Linked DNA regions of Styela clava. The protein of the gene in region 2 purifies or fractionates together with the protein of the main gene of each other region. This does not show direct contact. Links are inferred from orthologs where the notes say so. Each region holds a gene or a part of one and is shown on either strand. Other genes may lie near its edges.

Region 1 (7,133 bases), on a different chromosome or scaffold from region 2:
ATATAAAAATAATCAGTTAAATTTTCTATTGAACATTTTGTAATGGAAGCCATAAACTGTGACATGGACATAAACAAACTGACTAAATTATACATATCGTCGTTGTGTCGTACCTCTTTGTCTTGTGTATTTTACTTGAGTTGTATTTGTATAGCATATTTCATGCCCGTTGTCCTATTATAACGCAACAGTCCTAAACTGCTGTTATAATTGTTAGGGGTGTTGGGTAAGGTCTGGAACATGTATCCAGTCTCTGTTTTACTGTTTAATTATTATTCAGAGATTGTTACATTTTTGAGGCAAATAAACATACATACCTAATACCATGATTTTATCAATATAAAATATATTTTAATAATGACATCTTAACGTATCTTTAAAATTTTACAACAAAAATAATGTAACATCGAAAAATGGTTGTTTTCTCTCAGTAAACATTGAATTGATGGCATGAGGCAGACAGTACAGCAAACAAGCTGACTCATGCCTATTGATTTTATATAAGGGCATTAAATTAACATATTCAGAAATGAGACATGGTATGATGCAATATCAGTACAACTTTATATTATATTCATCATTATTCAGTTAGAATACATCCACCATTCTGTGTTATGTTCTCCATTTCAATTTTTAAATATTTAATTAAGTTCATAAGAATCAAAATTGCACTATTAACAAAAACAATACAATGGATATCTTTTTTTCTGAACTGTTCCAAAATATCTTTTCCTTCAATTCTATAAACCACATAAAAAGTGAAAGGCTACAGTACAAACTAATTCAAAACATAAAAATATTACTATTAATTTATCCTAGTTTAAAATAGAAATTTTACATTCACCCTTGTGGGCACTCAAAAAACAATAAAATGTTATGCGACAAAATAAAACCAGTGCATGGCACGATCAGATACAATTTTTAAGGTTTACAAGAATTTAAAAATTACATTAGTTTAGTCAATCAGATCACATTCAAACTTTTTTAGAAAGTTTTACACAGAGAAAAAAAAATGGTAATAGCCATGGAATATATCAAACCTTAATATGTTGTCTTTCTACAACTCTCAAGTTTCCAAATACAACTTTGAGAATAAATTTTGCGCCAAGTGCAAATAAACAATAAGCAGCATTGATTAACACACCAAGAGTAAGGGGCTCATCGAGCATGATTATTACAACTCCTGAAAAAAAGAAAACATTGGCAATCCAGAAATCAACTTATATAATATCTATGTTAGTTTGGCCTATCTATAGGGTCTGCTCTACCGTATCGTGCCCCATATTCTCCTCACACGAACAACCAATGAAATACAACTTTCAGAACAATTTATTTTATTTTACAACTGCAAATTTACACATCAATTCTGAGATTTGATCAAACTTGATGATACTTGAATAGATCCTATCCTATCTGGGTGAAATCATTAACACTTTGACAGGTTTACAGTAAATCAGATTAGATGTGTCCTTAGAACCAGATTTGCCCATATTGCAAATTTATATTCTCACTTGCTTTTACAAATACCTATAATGACTCATGGATCAAACTGGTCTTTTGAAGATGGTATTTCAATATATAAATATGGAGTTGAATGCCTAAAGAAGATTGTGACTAGTTCACATAACTACAGTTAAATCACACAACAATGCTAAATTTTTATAATAACAAAAGACAGTTGGATGATGAAAAGATTTATTATGTAACCGAGGATATTGGCATCCCACCAAGTTACAATCTGCTCATAATATGATCGTGTTTATCCACGACTGAAAACCTTCATAGTTCACATTAATAAAAATTGTATAAAAAAGTATTTGGCTTCACATTTTATTGACTAGACCAGGGTGGTCCAAGGTTGTTGGCTCCGGAGGCCACACAATTATTTTTGCATTGTTCGCAGGCCACAATAGTGCCAAACCACCAAAAACTTACTGAAACATACAAAAGTCTTTCTATATTTTTATTTATGGTAAGATTTCGAACTCTGTAAAACAGAAAGTGTTTCTGCAAATGTAAATGCTTCCGAACATCAAGGCCGAGGGTAATTACTAATATAGGCAGCATTTTTTGTAATTCTGTTTAGGATGGTCGCAATAAACACCCAACATGAATTATATTGTTAGACCATGACAATAACATTTAGTTATCAGGCACAGCCAACCTAGGCTAAAAGAATTGGCATTGAACTTAAGCTCCTTATGATGCTAAAATTGTTAGCATATTCCTGACCAAAAAGATAGAAGGACTGCCAAGAACATCATTCAACTTCACTAGTTGCCTCAGCTAGCCATAACATCGGACAATTCAGAGACATTGGTGGTGTAACAATATGTCAAAAGATTTTTCTGGTTAATTTTATGACGAAAAAACACTAAGTGCGATTTTTTGATTACTTCTCCGAATGCAGCATGGGCCAATATTTTTTTATGTCAGAAAATGAAATACAAAATCAAGAGTTATGCACTTGGAATGAATGGTCGACTAGAAATAACGGGTTTTTAAACAAAAAAAGTAGTAGTCAAATACAAATAAACAAGGTTTTCACAGAGAACGTTTGCTCCATGAAAAAAAAATCAATATTATAGATCTTGGTGTATGGTAAAGGATGATACAATGGACATCTACATGCAGTCGATTTTCCATTTACAAGCCAATCGTAATACAGTAATATGACAAATTAATAACTTCAAAAGCTTGGTAGCCTACCTTGAACATAAGATATACCGAACATGCCTCGTTCAGAAACAGAGGACATTTCAACATCTGGTTGTTGATGTGTATGAAACTTATCAACAGTCATTGATGGGTTTTCTGATTGTTTTGAATTCATTCTTGTGTGTTCCTTATCAGCCCAAAAAACAACTAATACAAGCAATAGAATGCTTGCTACTGTGTATAGCTGTATGCTTGGAAGCATAACAGGTATCCTTCGAAGGACAAAAGACGAAGGCATTTTACTTGTTTTTGCCTAACAAATACTTTCTGCAATTGTGGCACAAATAAAAAATTAATATTCCGGTATAGTCTACAGATAATGGGTTCCTTTAATAACCGGAACAGACCATAAATAACCGGAACTGGGAAGAATTTTTACATAAACCTACCAAAGATATCTTTCTGTCTTTCAAAGGACATTTTATATACATCTATATACGCCTACATCTAGGTGATTTTCCAGGTAAAACAGCAAACTTTGGGGGACAGTGGTAAAAACAAGTTCCTGCTGTCCTGCAATTATCGGAACGAAACCTAAATTACGATACCTAAACAGACCAAGGTTACCTTACTCTAGCCCAGTGATTCCCAAAGTGGGCGGTGGGCGAAAATGATACAGAGGGGGGCGAAAAAGTCAAAGGGGGCGATTTCACGAAACCTGATTTTGTTCGACGCATCGTGCACTTAATTCTGTACTCTGTGTGCATTCGCATGCTTGAATCACGGGGGCGATTATTACACGCCAAAGGATTACTGGACTCGTCTTCGCAGTAAGTTACGGTAGTTCGCGTATCGCTCGGCAAAATACGGCCGGAGTAAAATAATCTGCTCAGGGACGATTCACTGAATGGACCTTTCCCCGACCTTTGACCGCGAAAAATTCTTCCTGTTTTTTAAAAGTGACGATAAAGAATTTTAGCCTAGTCTATCACATATTATTTTACACTTTTTGATTACTGTATTTAAACTGAAACTCATAGGAAGACAAAGTAATCATTGACTTATATTAAATTTCCGAAAAACAACTAAAAACTAACAAATATATTTAAAAAAACGCGAAAATGAGGGTGTGTCTGAGCGGATGCGGAAGGGGGCATTGTTACGTTTATTTTTGCATCTTGCTGATTGCTGATTGGGCAATGCCACAAAGTAAACAAGGAAGGGTATGCCTGGGGAAACATCCAAACGGCGGTTTTGACGATGAATTAATTTTATTTATAATCTACGCTCGAGGAGTAAATTATATTTTTTAGACAACAGAATTTATCGTGAGCCTACTTTAGACCAGGGTTGTCAAACTCGCGGCCCGCGGGCCACATGCGGCCCCAGAGAACTTACAATGCGGCCCTCGGACGCCTAACAATAATTGTAATATTTTGTAAGTTTTTTTTTTTATCTAAATGTAATACATTTTTCGAACCTTTCAAAGTGAAATTGTTTATTGACACAGAAAACGACAATTTATTGAAAGTAGTTCTGAAAAATTAAAATAAAAATGTTTTTCAATTTGACCCAATTATGAATACACCTCAAGCTAGCAATAAAATACTTGAATAAAACACTTCAGGACTTCAGGGATTAAATGAAACGCAAAGTACATGAAGAAAATGGCATTTTTAAAGAAAAATGGGAGCTGCAATATTTCTGCATTTCTCAAAATACTAATGGAGCACATTGTTCGATTTGTCACATTTCCTCAGTACAATAAAGAATACAATATAAGTAGACATTATCAAAATATGCTCAGCAATCAATATGACAAATTTAGAGATCAACTTCGAAAATAAACTTTTCATGTGTTTGTATATTATTACAGTATAATTATACAACTACCTAGTTACTAAAAATCAATATCAATCATAACTAGAGCGGTCCTATGCCACGTAATGGTAGGAAATGTCGTGAAATATCTGGTCCGAAAAGTCAGTCATTTGTTTGTTTACGGATTTATACATGGGATGATAAACGTAATATTTTTGCATTACTGAAATTAATTGAACATTCTCAACAATCCAGATTAACCGACGATCATGTGACTTCGTTAATTAGAGTTGGGACTGTAAAATCATTTCAGCCTGATATTAGTAAGCTGGTTGCACAAAAGAGATACAAAATGTCAAGACATATGTAATGAAAAAACATTGAGTTTATTCTGTAGTATTTTTGTAAATTTTAGGTCTATATATTTAGATTCCGGTAAGTCATTTTTAGTGCATGTATTATTCTTCCCTTTACAAAACTTTGTTTAAAAATGTTTTGGATAGTTGTACATAAAAATTCATGATTTTTCGTAATTACGGTAAATTGCAATAATATAATTAATATGTAAACGTCATTTGAAATTTAGGAAGATAACAAAACTTTATTCAACTGTTTAATTGCATCACAATATATGTCACAAACTACACCCATCTAAAAATATGCTTCAAGTATACATTATCAAAATATATATATCAAAAACTGATTGCGGCCCTTTGCACAATTCCCAAAATGCAATGCGGCCCTCGGAAACCCACGAGTTTGACACCCCTGCTTTAGACTAAATTTTATTATATCCTGAAAATTCCATTGACCAGCTACTCGTTTAACGAGCCTACAATTTAATTATAATTAGACAAATGGAAACACGAAGAAAAGTTGATGCTGAGGCCTGAGGGCAGGGGTTCAATAGCGCAGTAAATATTCGAATATATCAGTATATTGCAATGCAATAGGGAAATAAAATTCATATTCTATTCGAGAGGTTCAATCACTGCTTAATTTTTGTAAAAATGTTAAAGAATATCTTTATCAAAATTTCACAAACCATGCGAAAATACTCACTTCGATGTTTGGAAGTACATATTTGTGCGCAAATTTATTTCCGAAAATGAACATTACAAAGAACAAGCAAAGAACTAGGTGATGAATTAGTGACGCCCATTTAGAAAAAGTACCAATCTTGGTGTCGTAAAGCTATCAAGCGTGATGCAGCAACAAGACAGTGTCACATTAAATGTCATTGTAATAATTTTTTAATAAGACGACTGAGTTGAATTCACGAATTGTCGCAGTTTTTGCGCACTGTTCCGTTTTTAACTTTAAAAAATAAAAGCGACCCGCAAAAGACTAGCAACTCTGAATTTTGTCCCGCGAGTGACATAAAATTTGCTGCCCCTGGGCCGTAGCCGATAGTCGGTCACGACTTCTTCCACATCCGAGTCCATGAATCCAAAAACAAATGGCTGATTAATTCTATGAACTGGAGATCGTGGTAGACTGAGGAATCGGGGATGAATTTTACCGAAGTATTTTGGTACAGGTCAAAAGGCTGTCTTGGCTGTAGGAATGAATTAGATGTACGATAATCATCATTATAAATTTGGGAAAATTAACTTTGTTTTCATTATTTTGTGGAAATGGGGTGAATTTAGGGAGTGAAATGCTATAATGCAAGTACCGTACACGGCGGTTTTTATGGAGGTAGAACCCTGAATTCTTTCATTTCTGACCTATTATATGGTGAAAAGGGGGTTTTCAACCGTGCTACTATTGCTATCAAAACAACGAAATCGCCTTTTCATCAGTAAACGGGTTAATTTTAGATATAATAAATAACTTGTTGAAGAACACCAAGCTCATCCATCTAATTAAAAAACACTATAAACTATGATTTGCCTTCCTTTTTGGTCTGTAATATATTCGTTTCAGACTTTACATTTTTTGTAGTGCAGGGGGGGCGATGAAGTTGTATAAACGGCTGAGGGACAACTCAACTACACGGACAACTCACCAGAGACAACTCGACTACCTACTGACCTAGAGGCCTGGTGAGTTGTCAGTCTTTTGGCATTTTCTACGGTGGTGTTTTAGGTCTATAGCAGGGGTCACCAAACTTTTTTGAACGCGGGCCGGGTATGACTCAAACTGTGTTGAAACGGGCCGGACAAATATTTTTGTCAAAAAGAATGAAATTGGACCAGTGCGCAAGGGATTACAGTACTGTTAGCGCAAAATGCACATTCGACGTTCATTTTAGCACGAAGACGTAAACAGTTTCGGCGAGTGCATCTTTCGCAGAAAACGTTGCCTCCCGGTAGAAAATTTTAGCCCATTTTGTCACAGCTATTTCTTAGACTAATTTTTCATTACTACTATTAAAACTACAACTCCTAAAGAGGCAAATGATGATTGACTTATTTGATTCATACGGTACTTAAATTTCCCAAACACAACCAGAAACTAACAAATAGCATTCAGAATCGCAAAAAATGAAGTATTTTTTACAACCACGACTGAAAATCTGTCAGGGTGACCAAAGTGTCTGAGCGGATGCGAAAAGGCCCATTATTACGTCATTTTTTCTGCATCTTGCTGATTGGCCAATGTTACGAAATAAACAAGGAAGACGATGCTCGAGAAAATTTTTCTTGGAA
Region 2 (7,535 bases):
CATCATCATTCGCAAGAGTGTTATTACAAAAGTCTGGAGTGTCTTGGTGGTCTGGTCCATGTAAATAAACCAATAAAAATTGCATTTGTCTTCGACACTCATTTTGAGCATCTGCATAGGATCCCTATGAAAAATAAAAAGCTTAGTCGGAACTGCACAATATACATGTGGATGATGTGATATTCAAAATTTGAAAATATATAATTATAATTATGAGACTCCAGAAATATAAAAACTAATCATTTAGAGGAATTCCGTAAATTTCTTGCAGACGGACACTTTTTTGGTTGAACAAGCAAGAAAGCATGTAAAATTCACCTACCCTGATTCAAGTAATATACTTAAAAGACTTGTTCAGAACCATTTTATTATTCATGATCAACTTCTTATTGTTTGAAGTCTTTGTTTGAAGTGAAGAATATATAAGGCCAGATGCAACAACATATGGTGAATTAATTGCTTAGAGCTTAGACAATGAAATTCAAAACTCAATTTTATCAATAACTAATAAATGATCAATGAGAAAGAAATTAAACGATTTTCGTAGGAAAATTATATAACAATGTGTTTGAAAATATGCAAAAATACCTGAAAAAACACTGGGTGACGTTCACCATATAATTCTTCATATTCAGTAATAAATGATGTTACATCTCCAAGAGGATCTGTTAGCCTTGCCCTCGTGTCAGGCAGAAAGAGACGCATAAAAAACCTGTGGTAAACAGTCAGGAGACACATGAAATATAAAGCGTAAAATTAATAAAAATTCAATAGTTATCAAATTTAAAAAAAGGATCATTATAGGGTTCTAGTTTTATTTGCCATTGTTTATTAACAAGCATTTCTTCATTCCATTTACATTTCAGGTGTTTCAAAGTTATTTTGAAATTAATAGGCCAAATGGAAGTCCAACTACATTTTTGGTGGTGAGAAATATTTTGAAGGTGTTTAGAACTGAAAGAATTGATTTCCCCTTGACAGCTATTATTCTGTTGAATAGTCTTACACACAAGGTTGCTTACAATGACATCTAAAATCAATCTTACATGACTTGTTATAGCTAAGGACTTTGGATCTCATGAATTTGAAATGCGATCGGCCTGATAAATTTTACTGTGTAATCAATTTAACAGGTAATATTCAAAAGGCTTTACACTGATAGTACTTCAGTGCAGAATTATTATGCAGAAATACCTCACAATTCCAAATAACGTTGACCATGTAAATCGGAATGGCATTGATAAAACATAATATCCCCATTCAAATATTCCTTGAGGTTGCCTCAATTGTAATCCTCTTGCTTCATACAATGTCGTATGAGAATTAGTTCTTAATGGAAGTGGTGGAGATATGGTGGCAACATTTCTTCGTCTTAAACCAGAATTTGCAGATATCGATGGTGGTAGATTTGACTAAAGAAATAAAACAGTGTTTACCAATGTTTTGAAAGGCGTAGCCAATTAATCATGTGTAATCTAAAAGATAATTATTAAAGAGGGACTTCCCACAATACAACCTGTTGAGAATTAGACATTCCTGCCTCAAGAAATGTTGACTGGACTGCACTTTCAACATTCCAATCATGTTGCCTCAAAATAGTTTTACATCTATTCAGATCGTCTATGTTGGTGATTTCCTGAAAGACGTTTTAAATACGATTTTAATATTATGACAGATTTTGGGTGAGAAATTGGTTAGGTAAAAATAGTTTGATTTGCTATAATTGCACTCAAACATGGGCATGTTAAAGTACAAAATTGGGTCTACACCTTCATTATATTACGTAAATTAGGTCAGTAGGTGAAAAACTGCTATTTATGCAGTAAAGTTCTTGCCTTAGAAACTACACAGATCATAATATCAGTGAGGTTATTATCAACACAGTCAGACGGGAAAGTAACATAACAATTCTAACGTCAAGAGAAATTAAGATCAAAAGACACAGGCAAAAATCCTATCAAAGTACTGTAATACAGAGCAATACAGCAATAGGGTCTCGCGATGTACCGTAAACGCTGTAAATCTGTAAATGTTTAAATAACGCCAAACACAAATGTGATGTAAAAATACAACCCAAATTTTCATTTTTTCCCAAACAATAATCCGATACGCTACTATAAGTATAAGTTTATTTTGACTCCATAATCAGCAATAGGCAATAGAAAAAAACAAAATAAATAAAACTGATTATAGGGTCGGGAAAGCAAACGAAACCTCAAGCAAGGTTTAAAGCGTACATATTTTGGGTGGGGAGGTATTGATAGAAGAAGTAGTACGTGTTCGCTCACCCTGTCACCTAAGAGTAGTAAACTAATTAACGCATGCATACAACGCATATACACACAAACATACAATCATCGAGACATGACAAGGTTGGGAGTGAAAAAAGCGAGACATAAAATCAATTACTCAGTACTGCAGTAAGAAGAAGAATATACAAACAAATAAAAAGAATAAATTCTTTTGCCACACCAAATTAATAATTTTATGAGTATTGTCGAATTCAGGAATTGGATACCAAATTAGTCAAAACAGCAAAAGGAGTTATGTACTGTGGATAGAAAAAATATTCCTGAAAAGATATCGTCAAGCAGATTATAATTGGAGTCACCTAATGGCAAATTGCCCAAACAGAATTGCCAAGTTGGATGCATGAAGAGGTGGGCTAGGCCTGCTTCACTCACCAGATGTATTCATAGATTAAGTTATTGTAGAATGTGAATTCATATAATTCAGTAACTGCATAGCCTATAATGATAGCAAAGCTAACCTGAAAATGAATCAGTTTTTCTGTTAATTCCTGATTCAAGTTTTCTTCATCTTCACCCCTATCATTTTCTATTACTTGCTCGTTATTGTCCGCCATACAATAATACACAGCCCTATTAGATATTTATTTCGCACCGGTACCAATCCAATCCTAGTCTAAATACTATTCAGTCCCATATATTTTCAGAAAAGAAATAATAAACTTGGCGTTCTGGTATTATAGTACTGGTACATGTACTTCTGCTGCAAGCGGTGGCTAGGTGTCGTATTTAGAAGGTTTTACCTGACTACATTTTTACGCGAATGCATATTGCAAGAATGTAGGCGCACGGAAAGTTCGGGTTCTTTTAGATCGTGGGCCTAAATCTTTTGGGATCCTGTCAAACGATTTCCAATTTACAAAATATACAGAGTTGACATCTCCAAAGTAGAGCATTTCGTCACAATTGATGATGACTTCAGAGGCGCGTATTTTGGTGGACGGGCGCGTATTTTCACGTTTTTAACTTTTCTTTAAGTTATGCCCGTCCTCCAGGTCCTATGTGTTTGTTCGTTTGTTTTTGTTTCGTTTTATACCAGAGCGACCGAAATAAAATTGATTGATTGATTGATTGATTGAGCAGGGTTGTCCAAAACGAATCGAATATTCGACTATCAAAGTATTTGAATACTTTATCTGTTTATCAGCTAATTTTAGAATAATTCCGAATAATAGCCACGATTTTTTTTACTTTGTCACGTATTTTACTGACGATGAAATAAAATCGGCATAAGATAAGATTTACCTGTTCATCCCGAAAGAGCGGGAAGCCGATAAGATGGGTTAATCATATGGAGAACCACGGTCTCTAGTCCGGTTACCAATCCGTGTCCGGTGTGGGATTAGTTAGTCAGTTATTGGACACGTTTAGTGGCCATAACGATCGTTTCAAAATTTTGTTGTTATTGTTATTTGTCTCCGTCTCCATTTTTAAAAAATCGCTTTTCTCTTCGAATACTGGACCAATTGCTTTGATATTTTCAGTGGTTAAAGATAAAATTTTTCTCCAGAAGGTTATCACTTTTTTTTCTCGCTATGACGTCATCAAAATCATTGCCACTGGGTGGCGCTACGTGTCCATATATTTGAGCATAGCTCTCTTGTTTGTTTTCAGAAGCATGAACATTGGGCATTGCCGCCATTCTCTTGCGCAGCTTCTAATTTAAGCTTTCATTTTCATTACGTCGAAAAATTAAAACTTATGTAACGCCGTATTTAATAACCAAATGTACTTACTTCTAGAAAGCCGCCAACAAGGCGTTTACTCCAGCCATTCCCGCGGCACAATATCAGTCCTGTACTTCGCGAACGAAAGTGAAATCAAAATTTAATAACATATATTGTGTACTTTCAAATGTAGAGTAGCTATAAGACACAATTTAATGAATTTCTTGAAAACGAGAGGTCAAATTAATGGGGAGTAATATTGAACACGGTGGTGGTTCACGCGTGAAATATTAGAAAATATAATTTATACTTTTTCCCCGCTTTTCGGCAAATAATTTTGATAAAAATAGGTAAAAGAATCAATTTTTACTAGGATGATTTTCTGTTACGCAAAATATTCCAATCCATGACCGATAGGCCTACTGCTAGCATTTAAAATGCTTCGTCGTATTAGTTTAATTATAATAAATATATGTTATGCTAAATATACTCAAAGTTGAAGATATAATGGAATGAATGATGAAAAATTTTAAGTAAAATTAAACGCAATAAACGCATGCTTTTTGCACTTTAATATATTTTCTGCTTAAACGTTTACATATGACACGTTAAATTTCAATCAATTGTTTACTTCATCACTATTGAGCTATGCAAAAATTCATTTACTGTGTGTTAAAAATACACAACGATTACAAACGTCTTCATTTTTTCAAATTTACTCTCGACCTCTGAGAAATAAAGTCGCTAATGACGTTAGCGATTACATTTTGTTGAAATCGCCGATTGTTGTCGTCAACGTGACGTGTTATTTAGGCCGTAAACATATTTTTTCGGTGTTAATTCTCCCAAAATCATAAATTTCCTCCGACATCTGTTTTGTGCCGTGAAGACGATAAAAATTACTTTTTTGTTCTCGCACGAAACCATGACACATGTGAGAAAAACGAGTTATTATATAATCATCAGCGACGATATGCTAAAGATAGAATGACGGAATGAATCCACAATCCAAAATTTCTTGATTGAAGAGCAGCATTATAAAATATATATATAATACTAAAAAACAAAACGGAAAAGACCATGAGGTTCGCTTTAGTAAGGCCCGCTACAGATTAAAAACGCTTTCGTAGACATTGCAAATATCATAAATTCCTTGAGCCTGCGACACACCTTTTATGTTCTAAAACTACCGACTTGAAATAAATTTTACTCCATGGAATTTTATCGCAGACTTACGTTATTTTCTAACGGTGATATCCTAAAAATAATCGAGTGGCAGCATTACGATGGAGTGGAGTAAAAGTTACAGGGACAGCTCATATTGGCCTAGTTTGTAAGAATACGAATCAAAACAAGATGTAATAAAGCAACAAGAATGAGATTTAAACAGAATTTCAAATGGGCATCTTGTGACCTCTCGCGCCCCCAGTTTAGGACCACTGTTCTAGATGTATTTAATATTAATACCGCATATTCGTCGATATCATGCACAGCTTGACCTATTATTCTCTGATAAACTGTCCTACCGGAATAACCCCAAGCTTCGCTAGCAGTATAGATCACATTAGGACAAAAGCATATGACAAAAGAAGTAAACAGTGCTGTTTTGGTAGAGAGTATTTAGCATCTCCTAATTGTACTATGCTCCCTCTTAGAAAAGCAAACTCCAAACTAAATTTCCCCCTTACAAAGGCAACATCAAAGCAGTATGGAAAACGGAATAATTTAATGAACACTTTCCCACGTGGCACAAAGCTTGCTTGACAATATGCCACAACCAGCTAGCTGTGACAAAAGCCAGCTTTCATATGGCAGGGAGAAAGAATTATCATCCATGTTTTGAGGCCAACTACATCATTAGAAATAAAAACATCGTACGCGAAATGAAGCTCAAGTCATGTTTTAGAATCGATCTTCTATCATCATTTTTCAAATGTTTTAAAAAAAATAATGTATAGCAGGATGTCAAACTATTTGAGAGCAATATTATTTCCTACTCGCATCAGTATTATTTTTGCAAGCAATACTCCACTGTTACGGCTGCTAATGTTTTGGAACATAAGCTAACCAAGGCATTTGGAGGCAAGAAACACGCTATTGGAATATTTCTTGATATTTCAAAAAAGTTTGACATCCTTTACCTCTTCTTTCAAGTAATCTGTATAATTATGGAATCAGAGGGATCCCATTCAATTGTATTAGTAGCTACCTGCATGACAGAGAACAAGTTGTGTAATATGACAATTCATCCTCTAATAATATTTGCGTCATGAAGCTCGGAGTTCCTAAAGGATCTTCACTTGCCCATTATTCTTTCTAGCCTACATTCTTTCTAGCCTCTCTTCTATCAATGTTTCAATCGTTGTTACTCAGCCATATCCGATACTGTATCTCAGTCTGGCTCCATGGAAACAAAACACCCATCTCAACTTGCAGAGTACTTCAGTAATTGTAATAATTTTTTTAAGAATTGTTTTTGGTGAAAGAAGATGTGAAAGTGTACTGTGGGCCATCACTGCTAAATATACTTAAGGTTGTAGATATGATGAAATTTGAAGTATTATCATCAGCTTACTTACGACTTTCCTAATAATGTGCTATCAAACTGCTTTGACGTCATACTTTTAAATAAAAAATACCTCCAACCGAAGAAGTAATTCTGATTTGTTCATAGCTTTCATGAGTAAATCTGTGAGTCAGCATTCCCTGTTTTTAACTGGACCCAAACTTTTGAAGACGTTGAAGTCCAAAAAATTTTGTACGAAATTAACCATAATGTATTGATTATTGAAACAAATAAATATCAAACTTCAAGGCAAATAAACTTTTTAGTCGATGGTCGATGACAAAAAGTTGGGAGACTACTCACTCGCACTTTGTTGTTTTCATGTGAATGTCGGACAGCTATAATAATATTGTTATTGTTTCTGAAACTTCTAGTTACTGTGATTAGGCGTGCAGTTGAGCTATTGTCTGCATCTTTTAAATTTTTATTACTTTTGTTTTAATCATGTCTGGTGCAAAAACACTCGTATCGGGATATGCATGGCTATTTTTCTTTTATCACACGGTAGCTGACATACCTGGATGATATTTTCTTTAAATATCTGTTCACATTTTAACCTTTTCATGCGCATGTTTCTAACCCTTTTTTGATATGGGGTCTTCCCTCACATGCATGTACATGGTTTTGGTTTTCTGTTCAAGTGGTGGTATTATAGTTCCTGCAAGATTACTAATTATTGAATTTGAAACTAGTCGAGCTATATTGGATTCTCCCCTTCAACTTTTATTAATTTGCTGTGAGTCATTTTAATTTGATGTGATTTTATATCTCTATGGAAGGATGCATTTTAGGTAAGGTATTGGTATAGAGTTGACTTGATAGCCAATATTTAAATAGTGTGATATAATCAAATTTGGGTGTTTTTGCATGGTGTGATAATTTCGTCTGTGTCCCAAACAGAATTTCCTCCTAGATCATCCAACCATCACTATAAAAGGACTATATTTCCTCAAAGCAATTAAACAATTTCTGTGTCTATAATTAATAGTTCGG
Region 3 (7,540 bases), on a different chromosome or scaffold from region 2:
GTCATTCTATAAGCCAGTTATGTGTCATACCAAACATTTCTATCTACAGACTCTCCGGCAAAAACTAATATGATTGAACAAATTTTACAGATCATTATAATATATATGGTGGATCAAGGTGCTTGTCTACAAGGTAGATAGATTTGATACAATCTTGGGCTATGTGCATCTAGATTTTAATAAACCCTGATTCTACTTACCAACATTTCTAAATAGTTTTCTGTGGTTTTTCGAAATGTATCTGGTAATGATAAAAAACTTCCAACATACAAAATATTATAATAGTAAATGAGTCCAGAAATCTGAATGTAAAACAAACTTTCACTATATACATTTATATACTTTTTTATAAATTTATGACAAAATAAAAAATTATTTAATTAAGGATTTTGGAAGCACGCAAACAGCAGTGCAAGTCAAGGTTAGATCTGATAATCAACAGCAAAACAAGGCATGGTTCATAAACAAGCTGTGCTTGAAAGGAAATTTGGTTGAAGACGAATTTACATAGCAACAAATAGGATAGAAATGGTCCTGCACCTTCCCTCCAGGGCTGTGAAGCAGGAGAAAATTTACAATCTACTCCAGGTTGTAAAAAACTCTTAGAGAAAATCAAATTTTGATAACAAAAACTTCAGCATATGCAAGCCTTTTTTAATTGTCTGGTAAGAGCGCTTAGTTAAACTATTAGTTTTAGTAGGAAGTTTGGACATTATAAGCCTGCAATCTGGCTCAGTCTCCAGATAATTCAGAATTTTACCTAAACTCTCGACACGACATCAAGGAGTTTAAAAATACAATTCAGGTTCAGACTCCAGTGAAAATATACAAAATTTATTTTATCCCACCCCACTCGGAAACAATTTCATCTGCAAGAGTAATAATCACTCTATTTATATCATACATTTGGTTGATTCGTACAGTATTATGCATTAACCCATTACAGTTCACTATATACTTACCAAACCGAGTCCACAAACAGGATATCTTGTTTCATCAGTAGCAATAATCTGGACCACCAGACCATAATGAAGTATTTTTTGAGTAATCCTAATTGGGCCAAATCGAGCCTGTTCAATTCCAGGTATATCATGATAATAAAACACCAAGAGAGCATAGATGAGCCAGTACCTAAAACATGATCAAAGAATAGGTTCACGAATTTAGTCATCTTTACAAATACAACCGGACATAATTTCAAATAACCATACTGGGTTTTATTCTCCTACACAAACTCTTCAACTTATCTTGAATATCAGTCAGTAATAGAGACGCCTAGCTGTCAAATGCTTATTTAACTACGACATTGAACTGTATAAATAATAAGTATACAGATAACAAACTTGCATTCCTGATGGCAATATCTTGATCTCTTTGAAATAAGTGGTAAATGCAACTTCAAGTAATGATGTCAACAGCCAATTGCATAGAATGAAAGACTGAAAAAAGAAAAATCCAGTATAAGCTAAAAAATGGTGCAACATGTTAGGAATACGCTCACCACCGCACCTCTGATTACACTGCATTGGTTTGCAGGTGCGAATCCCATGCGGGGTTAGTTATGTGCGAGAAGATTGCTGGACTCATCGACGCTGTAGGGTGGTTCACATAACCGCTGGTCAGCTACAACTTTCTCCACCATCAAGTTCATGCTTCCAACAAATAACTGGCCAACTAATTCCATACCCAACATGAACTGGTAACCGGACGAAAAGCTGTGGTTTGCCATATGATTAAGTCGTCTTATCGGCTTCCCTCTCCCTCAAGGATAAATATGTAAATCCTATCCCTGCCCTGAGTGGCGAGAGCCTTGGGACTTCGTAACATCACAAGTTAAAAATTTCAGATTCAACTCCCATTCATGGGAGGGAATACTAAAAAGTCATTAGGTAATGACTTTTTAAGATTAGTTAATTCCTTACATACTATTAGCTACTTCTTTAATGCCTTTATTCAGTTCAAAGGCACTCAACTTTTTCCTCTGTAGAGATATTTCGCTAAAAATAGTACAAAAAAATTCACCTACCATGAACTTATATGAACCGAATCTTCTTTCAAAATCTGAAAACCCGTACAATAAAATACTTCCAAAAAAGAACTCATGAGGAGTTAAAAATATAAATTTTCCTGTCAGAAGCCTCCAAAGCTAAAAAAAAAATTTGTGAACACATTAATACAAAAGGTATGTTAGATACAAAGAGGGCGCTTTATTTATAATCATCACATTCATGCATACCTCAAATTTATTTAAAATCTTTGATATATCGTAAACAAAGAAATTTTTATATTCATGAAGTAATGTGTTGACAGCAACATATGTTGTAAAATACATCACGAGAAGACATTTCGATATTGTGCGTTTATCTGTAAAAACAAAAGATTATTGTTAATAATGATGAGGCTGAAAAATTCATGTATTTAATAAATAGAGATTGCTTTTGATATTACTCGCTTCATCGGAAGTTGCGATTTTAATTCTATTTAATTTTTTACCATTAATAATTTTTTTAATATTTCGAACAAATCACCGTTAATTTCTAATATTAATTTGAAAATTTCCAGATGAATTTTAAAGTTTAGTGAAAAAATATGTACGGTAAGTCGTATATCATAGTTTTGAGTAAACCTTTCGAAACTGCATTTGGGCTTATGTTAGTGGTGATGTTAAAAACCTCAATGACTGCAGAGCCTGAGCCTAGCTCCAAGGTAAAGAATAAAGCTTGAGCTGGGGTTGGAGCCATTGCAATTTAATTTAAATCAGCTCCTCCATGCCATGTACTAAATATGAAATATGCATCATTAGGATAATTCATTGTATCGAGAAAATATTTTATTTTGAAATAGCGATATGTGTACTAGTCAAAAGGTAACAATGTCATACTCACAGAATCCAAGATTCTCATTCATAGTGAATCTTTGGATGTTAATATTCAAGTTGAAGAGCTCAGTCCATGGATTTGAATAGATGACAAAATTTGAAGACTAATGTTTTACATAATGACATAATATGATACAAACGCAAAATATAAGATAATGAAATAAAAGATTCGCACAGAATTTGAAGGTTTGAAAAAAACAAATGTGGACATACAAGACAAATCATGTGGTGTGGACATACAAGAAAATCACAAAACCTGCAATCAATGGTCACTAGATTGAAAATTCAACAAAATTTTCCCTTTTTGTTTTTTGCACTTCACAAACACAGAAACAAACTCTTATAATAAACTGGCAAAAAACGTTCCCTCCCTTTCAGATTCAAAAGTATACCTACAAAAGTACCACATCCCAAAATCCCAAAGCAATTTTTAGTTCGGTTTTCAGATACATTGTCCGAATTGAAAATCAAAAACATCAAAATATGTAGAAATAAATACACATAAGAGGCATAACCAACATTGCCATTAAGGTGACGACAAAAATATTTTCCAATCAAAAAAATATTTCCTCTATATAATGTATTCACTCACGGTGCCCAATTGGAACTCATTTCAACAAAGTAAAACGATATTTACACGTATATTCTATATACAACATAGCAAACTGATTCACAGTGGAGCAAAACAGACTGTTACTATTACATTACATATGCTACTCTTACACACTCCTAGAACTGCTAATTTATTTAAAACATAACATAGAAGTCAATAGAAAAAACACTCGATTCAGGTGTACAAAAAAGTTAGCATGTATGGAAATTCAATGTATGTTAAGTAATCTAAATAATTTAACGACATTGTCAAACGGTAAACGGAAGTTAGATAAAGTTGACCAGTGAAATACATATGATTCATTATTAAATATATCGAATCCTTAATTTTTTCTGAATTGACTAGAATATCACCAATGCTGACTAATAATTGTGAGCCTTGTTGTCGTATGTAATGAATTAACCCATGGGTATGGCCATTAAAATACCTACATGTTATCTCAAGTAACAGGGTTATAATCTCAACTTTCCACAACATAATATTTATACTCCTTTTATGGATTGCCAATGAAAAATACAATACACTCGATAAATATTGTCGCAAAGCAAAAAATATGAGTGTTGAATACTCAGTTGAATAATGACCGAATTATACAAATTGCCATGATTTCATCAGGACATCGAAAAAATAAACTTACAATTGAACAATAAATGATTTGAAATTACTCCTTCAAAGATAAACAATTCCAATATGCAACATTGATGATTTTTTGTATTCCTGATGGAATTTATTGAGTGACATTTCTAAGTTTCCTCCAAATAGTGTTAGTCATATGAAACAGAGGAGTCCTATCCAATTGGTGTTGACAATATAAGTATTGGGTTGACTATTTTAAGGTTCAAAATTTCAGAATACCATATAAATTAAAAACGATATTAACGATTCATCATACCATAGTAATTATTTGTTATCTGTATTCCAGTTTCACATTGTACCTTATCGATGGAGCGTAATTAATATACATCTAATATTCAGCAATAATGTAAGCAGGCATTACAGAAGTATCCTTTGACAAGTAAATGAGCATTGCAAATTAATTCACATAAACAAGCACAGAGGTGCAGTGATTTAGGCCATCTAAGCAAAATTTTTTTTAGCACGAGTTGGCTTATTACGGGCTTACGGCTGTAATAAGTACGATACTTCGTAAGATCTATATCGTTTCTATCAAGTTAAATTTGCGATATAAACTTTTCACAAATATAATATTCATAAACTTTGAATAACGCTATTAACTGCAAGAGCAAATAGAGCAACTCCGGCAACAATAACTAAATTTACAAGATTAGATTGGTTGTCTCTCTCCCTTTCATTTGCAGCGTTTGATTGTTGTTCATTTTTTACATTAGCATTTGTTGTCTGAGATGTTGTTTGAGCATTCATACTTGCTCTAATTTCCTTGGCAACTCCTGGAAATAGTTCACAGAAAACTGAATCTTTCAAGTTGAATGGTCCACTCTGAAGTGCGAGTTGACGTTTTGTATAGTGTGATGTTTCAATAGAACCTAATGTGGCAGAATCTTCGACCATGAAACTTAACAACCCAGTTAAAATAGTTCCTACAGACCAGGCAGGATTCCAAGTATCTGGATGAAAATCACTTATCGATAAGCACAATCTTGTGTTGCATTTGAATCTTCCTGATGGGGTGATCATGTATATAGAAGGTGGGCGGAATGGGAATTCCCTCGGAAAGACTAATTTTCCATGATATATACCACCAAAATAGGGTGTGTCATTGGGTCCTAACACCAAGTAATGCCATTCAAGAATATTAGATGGCAGGGGTTCTGCAGTGACATATGGAATTGGATCTTTCTTTAACCTAAGATAGTCCTGTTTAAGTCTTTGTGTAGCCGTCGTTGGTGCACGCTGCACAGATGAGCTTTTACGAGACATATTGTTTCTGTCACTAAATATAACTTATTATAAGATACCGTAACTCCTGTAAAAACAAAAGAAAATATTGCACAAACAAATAATTAAATTCAGTAAAGGATTTACCGTGGTATTTTCAGCATCCATGCACTCTGGCGAATAGTTTTTGTGGGTAACAAAGTACGGACAAGGTGTGATAGTGACAAATTTCTCTTCATTAATAACTCCAGAATTTGTTTTTTATACAGCAGAAGCATATTTTCAAGTGGTACGTACGTACACAATTTTGCATCAAAAAATAAGTTCAAGAATGGTTCTGTGTTCTGTCATAGACGATGTTGAGGCAGAAGTTGGGTAGCAAGATTAATTAGACAGACCACTTAGGTCTTGAATTATGTTTTCAAATTTGTTATCCATACAATGTGTTTATACAACTGTGTTTGACACCAATTCATGTTTGAAAAATATTAAAATGAGTATCGTGAAAAATGTTTGTACAATTTGCATTTATGACACCAGATAGTTCAATACAAGAACATCAATAGCAAAGGTAAATTATAGCAAACGTTATCTATTTTTCCCGTAACCAAGTCCGAATTTCCCTTTTCCACTTCCTTCAGGTGCAATAGGTTCTGTAATCCCTGTTTGATATTTTCCTAGACTCTGTCCCTTATTCCAACCCATTTTCTTTAGCATTTGGTGGCCTTTGTTGTGATCGGCCAACTCTGTTTGCATTGAAGTTGGCATCTCATCTTTTTCATATGGATTATCACTGCCTAACAATCGCCTTCTTTCAGAAGCTCTATCCACATACTGCGGTTCAATACCGAATTCCGATTGCTTATATTTATCATTATGTAAATTATATTTTCTCCTAATATTCTTCAACTCAGATCGCCTTTGTTTTTCCTTTTCATTTTTTGTCAAAATTTCAACTGAATTATTGGTCTTATTTGTATCAATCATGGCTTGGATTTGACCAGGTTCACAGTCATCGCATGTATCATAACCAATATGCAGATGTAACACAAACACAGTGTTTCCTATTATTAGCACACTTTTATGTGTAATAGGGCTGGCTAGCACAGTTGTTATACCAGGATTATGTTCGGTGATAGAATTTAGAGTTGTTCCATTCTCACTCCCATAATCAGTGACAAAGTAATTTCTTTGTTGTTGGTTATAAAACACTGCTGCATGTTTTGGACTTACATCAGCTTCTTGTATTTGAATTTCACAGTTTTCACTTGAACCAAAAATTGCACCATAACGAGTAATTAAAAATAACGTACCAGATGTTAGACTTTTAGATGAAGTGACCATAGCTCGAATGCATGGAATCACATTAGTTTCTAAATCCAAGTCTGTATCATTTTCATCCAAACAATCCATTGAATAAATGACTTTTTCTTTTGAAAATTTGGAAGAATCATCACACACTAACTTAAAGTTTTCTAAGCAATGGCGTTTATTTGAATCTTCAGCTAAATCCGAAGCTTTCCGTCGTTTTCTCGACTCTGTTATACCTTCACAACAAACAGAATTAACAAAAGACAAACATTTTGGACATTTCAAAAATTTAAAAGGATGTGTTGACAATGTCTCTAGTTCAGTATCAGAGCAACTGTCTAATTCTGATATTTTTTCATCTTTTCTTGTCATTCTGTTACATACTGATTTGCCATTGATATTCATATTTAAGCATTTTTCATTCTGGCAACAACAGGTTTCCGTTATGTTAGAACATTTCCTACATACAAGATAATTTTTCCTTGTTGATTTAATGCATTCAATCTCTGAATCAGACAAACTGTAATCATGATATGGTGATCGCCCGATTTCAGTTTTGCATATTGATATACAATTTTTATTGTTTTCTGCCATCCCTTCAACTTCAGATTGGCTATTCGTAAAGTGGGAGCAAAGTTCGTTCACCTGGATTGCTTTGAGATGACTCTTCTGAGATTTTCCATATTTAAATACCGCTTTTTTCAGAGACGAAAAAAAAATTTTATCACCTATTTGCTTTCCAATAATATCATCTCTATCAATATTCGTATTTGACGTGTCATTGAAGCTCATAAGTTGATGCTGAAACTCGTATTCTTGTGAGTCCTGATTATATTTATAATAGCACCCATTTTTATAATTGTAATATAGCTTTGTGTTGG
Region 4 (6,863 bases), on a different chromosome or scaffold from region 2:
AGTCGTGCTTCATAAACAAAATCATAGCGAAGTATAAAATATCAGTAAAATATGTACAAGTCTGGCCAGAATAACCCCATATCAACAAAATGGCTTCAACGCTGTCAGTCATGCTCCATAAATTAAGGTTCGATAGTAAGCGCATTAAACGCATAGCACGATGTTGTCATTACCGAGTGAACAAACATAACAGAAGGCAACAATACCTTTAGATCTATCCTCAGCAACCAAGTCTGAAATGATCCAACCAACTTTCTGAAGCCCAAGTGCTTTCGCTACTTTCTCCACAATCTCTTGATGAGGGTCGGGCAGGATCTTCAGCGAGTTAGCCGAGCTTTCCTGTGGTGGCTCATATATTGCACAAACCTCTGCACGAATGCCGAGTGGTACTTCCTAAAATAATAAGAATAGTTCAGAAAAAACAAAACTTGAAAAAAAAAGCTGTTCTGGGAAAATGGGGAATTTTAATTTTTAATAAACTCTTCCAACTTTTAATAAAAATACTTTGTCGTGAACAACACTTAAACTTTGACTAGAAAACCACTTTATAAACCAATTTTTATAATTTTTTTAAAAGTTCCCAAATTCACCCTCTGTCCTGAAAGCCTCAAATTGTATTGTAAAGAATAATCATGATCTGAATAACCCGAAGAAGCAAAACTTGCAAAAGCTCTTTCACACTTCCTGAATAATATGTATATCACTGTCAAAAGCACTCTCAACAATGCATAGTATATTGCAAAGCAAAATTATTATTCAAAGACGAGACTTGAAAAAAAAATGTTTTTTTTAAATTTTTCAATCTTTCTTATTTGCATTATATCAAGTATTCCCATCAGGCTATAAAAGGGCAACATCTAGTTTTGCCATTCTGTCAGTGCCTTTGTGACATGACAAGATTTTGCTCTTGTTCGAGTAAGAGAGGTCGCCAAAATATATCGTGGAAATCAAACTTTCCAGAGCAGTTTTGATTCTTTCATCTTGGATTTTATTTTCCCCTTAATTAGAAAAACCAATTCAGTTTGGAACTTGTATAAACACTTTTGTATATCGTTTATCCTCGCATATGAGCCGAGTTCAAAACTTGACAAAAATGTTGTCAAATTAATGTGTCAGCTGATACGCTCTTACAACTCTGGGATTGGAAAGATGGAGAAGGTGATAGTGGGGATAAATTTTTAGGGATTTTGAGACACTTCTTGCTGTTATTAATAAAAGTTAAACAACAATAATGGTGATTATTTTCATTAATGCTCTTCTGCAACCATTTGATGTGACAGGTGAGTACAGTGAGTTACAATTTGTAGGATTTGCTTATATGCAAATTTTTATGAATTCAACGTTTTAGGTTCGTTTTAAGGGAGTTGGCTGATATGCAAGATCAGCTTATAATATGCGAATTATATATATACGGTAACGAGTATATATTTCTTCATCTTATACCTTATGTTGAGTATATCTTCCATACATGAATCCCATTCTCTGGTTTCCACTATTCCTCCAATAATTCAGGAATCTATCAGCGACTTCTCGATTTTCAAACATAATATTATCAACATGACGAAATTTTTGTTGATTCAGAGTGATTGCCGTTGGAAGGTCGAGGAGAGATCTAAAGAATGAATTCAAAATTGAGATTAGTCTGAAACACAGGTTCTCAACCAATGGAACATGCATGGCCCACTGTTGGACCAAAGACCTATTAAAAATTAGTAGTAATTTATTTGTGTCCCTATAGTTAATTTTGATTGTAGCAGCAATGAATGACAATGCTGTTTTCTGCTACTGAGTGGTAATTTTCATTCTAATTATTAATGTGAAAGTGTCCATTCTTGTGGGAAGATTTAGTATTTCTTGTAGTTTTTCCTTTGCATAAAGAAGTTTTTGGGCCACAGGATTATTGTTAAACAAAAACGGGCCATGATTGAAAATTGTTGAGAACTACTGCTCTAGAATAAATCTAAATGAAATTATTGTTTCAAGAGGCAGCCGTTGTTTACATAAATTTTTTCCGCTAGAATAAACAAACTTGTACATTGCTTTAATTTTGTCAGTAGTTGTATTTAGCTGTTCATTCAATACTTTTCAGAGCAATTTGTCTGCGATGTATTCTCGATATGATACAGACAAATTAATTCAAATATTCTCTCCAAATAAATTTTAAGCAATTTCTATGTCAGTATCAATTTCGAAAATAAACTTTTTCCAAATTGACAATTCTACAAATGGCAGTATCTATAAACTATTTTAAAACTTCAAAATTTGTTACACGAAACGTATTTAACTTAAAATCGTTTAGAATATTCATTTTAGATTTCTCTCGTCACAGATTTGATACGCATACTAATTGGAAGTAACAACCTTAATCAGAGATATAAATCAAAAAATCTCAAACCTTTTTTCTTCGCTAATCCCTTCTAGTTTGCAAGCAGTTCTGGTACTTTCCAGTTTAAAGTATTTCCCTTTGTCCACACCAGAAGTCTGTTGGCGCATGTACGCATGAAACGATAAAAACTTAATATCCTTTGATTTAAGATATGACTCATCCCATGAGTTTATCGGTAGATCATCAATCTTAAACATTCCACCTCTGACAGAACTCTTTTCATTTTGCGGAATCCTACCATCTTGTTTCCATAATTCTACGTCAATTTCGTCCTCTGTAAATTTCACTATGGGCGGGGCTTCGTTTTCAACCACGCCTCCATCTCCAGCTACGTTCATTCCGTCAGTGAAGATAAGATAACACATATCTCCATGTTTCAGTTTTTTGTTACTCAATTTTGACCGTGACCCCTTTTTAAGTTCATTTGTTCGGTCACGATTTTGAAACAAACACCAATTTTCATTTGCAAGAGCAAATTCCTCCGCGACCTTCCCAAGAAATGATGTAACCGTCTCCGAAGATGTTACCTCAACCCGTTTTGTACCATCCTTTGACTGGATTCTAATTATCATTATGGTTTAATTATTTTAATACTATATCTGTAAATTAGCTGCATGGTTAGAAAATTGCATATAAAGCGTAATTACAAGTGGTAAGGGCCTACGAGGTTTGCATAAGCAATATCAACAAATAGAATGTTTCCATAGATCAGTGATTTTGAACCTTTTTGCAGAAACTGGCGAACTTCCAGAGGCTTGAAAAATCCCTGTGCAATAGCTACGGTAAATTGTCTTTTATTGTCAGAACTGTATAGACTATAAATTTGCTTTTGTAAACTTGGTACTGGCAAAGCATAATCTTGAAAGGGTAGCATATTTTCAAAATAGTGGCCAATATTCAAACGAGAATATCGGTCGGAGACCCACCACTTATTGATCGAAAGTTAGGGGATCCCCCAAAACAGAAACTGCGGTTTCGATACCTTCACTATGACTCAATAGTGACACCGCGTGTCCCATCACTAATCAATAACTCGCTAATTATACGATATAATTCATCCTAAATCAATAGGCTTCTGGTTCGAGATATGATGAATGCACATGCAAAATTTGGAGCAGATTCAACCTCGCTTTCGTGAGATATCACGTAACATACGAAAGTGTCTGACAGACAAACAAACAGACAAATACCTATCAACATACTACTGATCAAGATCGATAAGGAATAATTTGCATAAACTTTCTGATTTTAGTAGAAACTTGCGGAACCGCCAGACTGTCTGTATTGGTGGAACTGTAGGGTGTAGCAGGAAAATGTTTGAAAACCACTGTCATAGTATATTATGCGTATGCCTCTCAGGTGAAGCGCAAATACTAAACAGAATTGATAAAAAAAAAATGGAAAACGAGTCTTCTTTGGTATAATTTAGGCCTATTACAGAGTGAGAAGTTTGGACAGAATATTCTTATTCGAAATAAAAGGTTTCATTGCTGCCAGTCATGCTTCATAAATTAAATCATATCAAAGCAGAGTTTATGTAAAAACATCACAGAGAAGAGAAATATTTTAAATATAAGTCTAGCCAGAATTTTCTCATACTAATAAGAGGGTTTCGTTGCTGCCAGTCATGCTTCACAAACTGAATCATACCAAAGCAAGGTCGGCTCACTTAATTAAGTGATTGGGATATTTTAATACTAACGAAAGCGTTTCATTGCCAGTCATGCTACACAAATATTTTTAAGGCAGTAGACTACTCTACTACTTGCATACACAAAAGGATAGTCAGTAAGTGGCATTGTGTGAATCTTTATAGGCTATGTATATAATATATTGGTATTCAACATCCACCATAAATTTTCTTTTCCTACAATGGGCAAATCATTGGTTACCGATAGCCTAATGAACAAACAGTTAATTATATTTTTCTTAAAAATAAAACAATTGTGCAAAATATAAGAAATCATCAAAAAAAAAATAGGATAGGATTTACATATTTATCCTGGGGGAGAGGAAAGCCGATAAGACGGCTTATCCATATGGCGAACCACGGCCTCTCGTCCGGTTACCATTCCAAGTCGGGTATGGGATTAGTTATATTGTTTGTTTTCGGAAGTATGGACTTGGTGGTGGAGGAAGCTGTAACCGACTAGCGGTTACGTGAACCACCCATTGACGGCGAGGAGGCACATAACCGTCCCTGCAAACCCACGCGAAATAATTAGAGATGCGGTGGCGAGCGTATTCCTAACGCTTAGCCCGTTGAGCCTCACCGCCGCGCCAAAAAAGCACCAGTGGTAGAAGGACATCTCACAAGGCTATGGGACTGGAGTAGAGAGTATCGACATAACAGCGAAAGGATTGCTAGACTTTTCAATGCTGTACAGTAATTCACAAAACTGCTGGTCGGTTACGGCTTTCTTCGCCATCAAGTCCATGCATCTGAAACAAATAACTGGGTGACTAATCCCATACAGAGCCAGGCAGTCCCGATAAAACATAACAGGAGATTCTCTTACTAACTAGGCTATACAAATGAATTCTAATCCATGAAGTTAAATCAACCATAATAGCAGTATCCAGAAATCAAGATGTAATATATGTACAGTCATCATTCAAAAAAGAGCAATATTACCACAAACACTTCCCACCTAGAAAATAAGAGTGTTCCCATTACAAGCAATTCTAACCTCACTCACACAAACATGGAAACATAGGAAAAATTCAAATGTCAAAAATTTAATCAAGCTGAATTTTTTAAAGGTACTTATGAGTCTTGTTAAAAACCACATACACTTCCCACCTGGAAAATAAGAGTGTTCACCTTGCGAGCAATTCTAACCATGCTCACACAAACATGAAGACATGGTCAGAAATTTGAATGCCGAGATTTTAATCCATCTGCAATTTGTGACTACTCCTATAAAACCACAAACACTTCCCATCCCAGAAAATATGAGTGTTCCTGTTACTAGCAATTCTAACCACGCTTACACAAGCATGTAAACATGGGCATAAACTTGAATGTCGGTAATTTAATCCAGCTGCATTTTATGAATAATTGTAAGTCTCATTTGTGACCAAGAACATTTTCCACACAGAAAAAAAGAGTGTTCCCATTGTGAGAAAGTTAACCAAGATCCACTTTTCCAATATTATCCAAGTTTCCTTGGTTGAATATATATCATGGAGGAAAAAATCAGGGATTGAAATGAAGGAATTGTAGGTAGGAAAAATACAATGATTTCAAGAACTGGAAATTCAGAAAGTTCACACAGTTTTATTATCACGATATATGAAGTTTGATATAAAAAAATTGCAGAATCATTAAAAACATATAAGATTTTTATTATTTATCTCAGGAGAAAAAAGTCAATAACGAACATAATTATAAGGCAGATATAGAATCTCATGAGGGAAATAGCTGATCAGATAGTCATTCCAGATTCATGGACATGAAAATATAAACGAGCAAAATAAATTTTTATTGTTGGATTGATTTAGAATTGAAATTTGAAAAGTCTAAATGGATTTCGATATAAAAACAATTGCATAATTGGAAAAAACAGTTTTCACTGAACTTTTCATATTTGCACTGGGAAAACAAGAAAATGGATAAAGCGGTTCAACAAGACATAAAAATTGTCCATTTAATATAACTGAAATAAGATATGAAACAAAATATCTAAGAAACAGAAATCTATACGCAATGGTCCCATGGTTATATCGCCATGTGAAAACAAATTAAAAAGGGGAAAGGTGTTGCTGATGATTTGCTATAGGCTCGGCGGTGTGGCGCATCGTGCTAAGCGTTAGGAATACGCTCGCCACCTCATCTCTGATTACCCTTCATGGGTTCGCAGGTTCAAATCTCATGTGGGGATGATCATGTGCGAGAGGATTGCTGGACTCCTCTCCGCCGTAGGGTGGTTCACTTAACCGCTGGTCGGTTACGGCTTCCACCACCATCAAGTCCATGCTTCCAAAAATAAATAACTGGCTAACTAATCCCATACCAGACCTGGACTGGTAACCGGACCAGAGGCCGTGGTTCGCTGCCATATAATTAAGCTGTCTTATCGGCTTTCCTCTCCTCCGGAATAAATATGTAAATCCTATCCTATATCAACTTGATCAAAAAATCATACGAAATTCAATATAACCCCTGAAAAATGAAACCCAGATCCTATGGAACATATACTAGAAAAAATTTTTTTGCAAAGCATTTAGATTTACTAAAACTTTTGGGTATAAAAAAAATTCTGTGTTGAATAACTTTTAATTTCTCACTACACCAGTGGTCACTTGAAAACATTCCACTAAAAATAATCAATTATAATCATATAGGGTCAAAAATGCATTCGCATCTTCGATATTCTTTTCAAATCCCAGACATCATATTTAGCTCAATAATTTGAACATGAATAATCACAGCATAATCTTTAAATAGAACAGTCTTTAACATAATAAGCATATT

What was found.
Region 1: the proteins of FAS-associated factor 2-like (region 2) and E3 ubiquitin-protein ligase AMFR-like purify together in Homo sapiens (affinity purification with western blotting; 9 studies listed by BioGRID and IntAct, with this or other methods). This does not show direct contact. The link is inferred for Styela clava from reciprocal best matches to the Homo sapiens genes FAF2 and AMFR.
Region 3: the proteins of FAS-associated factor 2-like (region 2) and ubiquitin-associated domain-containing protein 2-like purify together in Homo sapiens (affinity purification with western blotting; 7 studies listed by BioGRID and IntAct, with this or other methods). This does not show direct contact. The link is inferred for Styela clava from reciprocal best matches to the Homo sapiens genes FAF2 and UBAC2.
Region 4: the proteins of FAS-associated factor 2-like (region 2) and nuclear protein localization protein 4 homolog purify together in Homo sapiens (affinity purification with mass spectrometry; 3 studies listed by BioGRID and IntAct, with this or other methods). This does not show direct contact. The link is inferred for Styela clava from reciprocal best matches to the Homo sapiens genes FAF2 and NPLOC4.

The regions. Positions count from the first base shown.
Region 1 is NC_135257.1:56,309-63,441, reverse strand, and holds the start of E3 ubiquitin-protein ligase AMFR-like, read right to left. Parts: upstream 3,004-7,133; 5' UTR 2,957-3,003; coding exon 2,710-2,956; intron 1,184-2,709; coding exon 1,041-1,183; intron 1-1,040. UniProt on the Homo sapiens protein: E3 ubiquitin-protein ligase that mediates the polyubiquitination of lysine and cysteine residues on target proteins, such as CD3D, CYP3A4, CFTR, INSIG1, SOAT2/ACAT2 and APOB for proteasomal degradation.
Region 2 is NC_135256.1:23,646,699-23,654,233, reverse strand, and holds the start of FAS-associated factor 2-like, read right to left. Parts: upstream 3,013-7,535; 5' UTR 2,867-3,012; coding exon 2,771-2,866; intron 1,637-2,770; coding exon 1,517-1,636; intron 1,413-1,516; coding exon 1,195-1,412; intron 713-1,194; coding exon 589-712; intron 125-588; coding exon 1-124. UniProt on the Homo sapiens protein: Plays an important role in endoplasmic reticulum-associated degradation (ERAD) that mediates ubiquitin-dependent degradation of misfolded endoplasmic reticulum proteins.
Region 3 is NC_135261.1:15,005,966-15,013,505, forward strand, and holds the start of ubiquitin-associated domain-containing protein 2-like, read right to left. Parts: upstream 3,027-7,540; 5' UTR 2,908-3,026; coding exon 2,886-2,907; intron 2,365-2,885; coding exon 2,237-2,364; intron 2,147-2,236; coding exon 2,027-2,146; intron 1,440-2,026; coding exon 1,348-1,439; intron 1,132-1,347; coding exon 963-1,131; intron 303-962; coding exon 201-302; intron 1-200. Other genes in the region: ubiquitin-conjugating enzyme E2 J2-like, read right to left, coding at 4,701-5,390; uncharacterized protein LOC120329411, read right to left, coding at 5,937-7,540. UniProt on the Homo sapiens protein: Restricts trafficking of FAF2 from the endoplasmic reticulum to lipid droplets.
Region 4 is NC_135262.1:3,006,202-3,013,064, reverse strand, and holds the start of nuclear protein localization protein 4 homolog, read right to left. Parts: upstream 3,010-6,863; 5' UTR 2,959-3,009; coding exon 2,396-2,958; intron 1,613-2,395; coding exon 1,444-1,612; intron 394-1,443; coding exon 207-393; intron 1-206. UniProt on the Homo sapiens protein: The ternary complex containing UFD1, VCP and NPLOC4 binds ubiquitinated proteins and is necessary for the export of misfolded proteins from the ER to the cytoplasm, where they are degraded by the proteasome.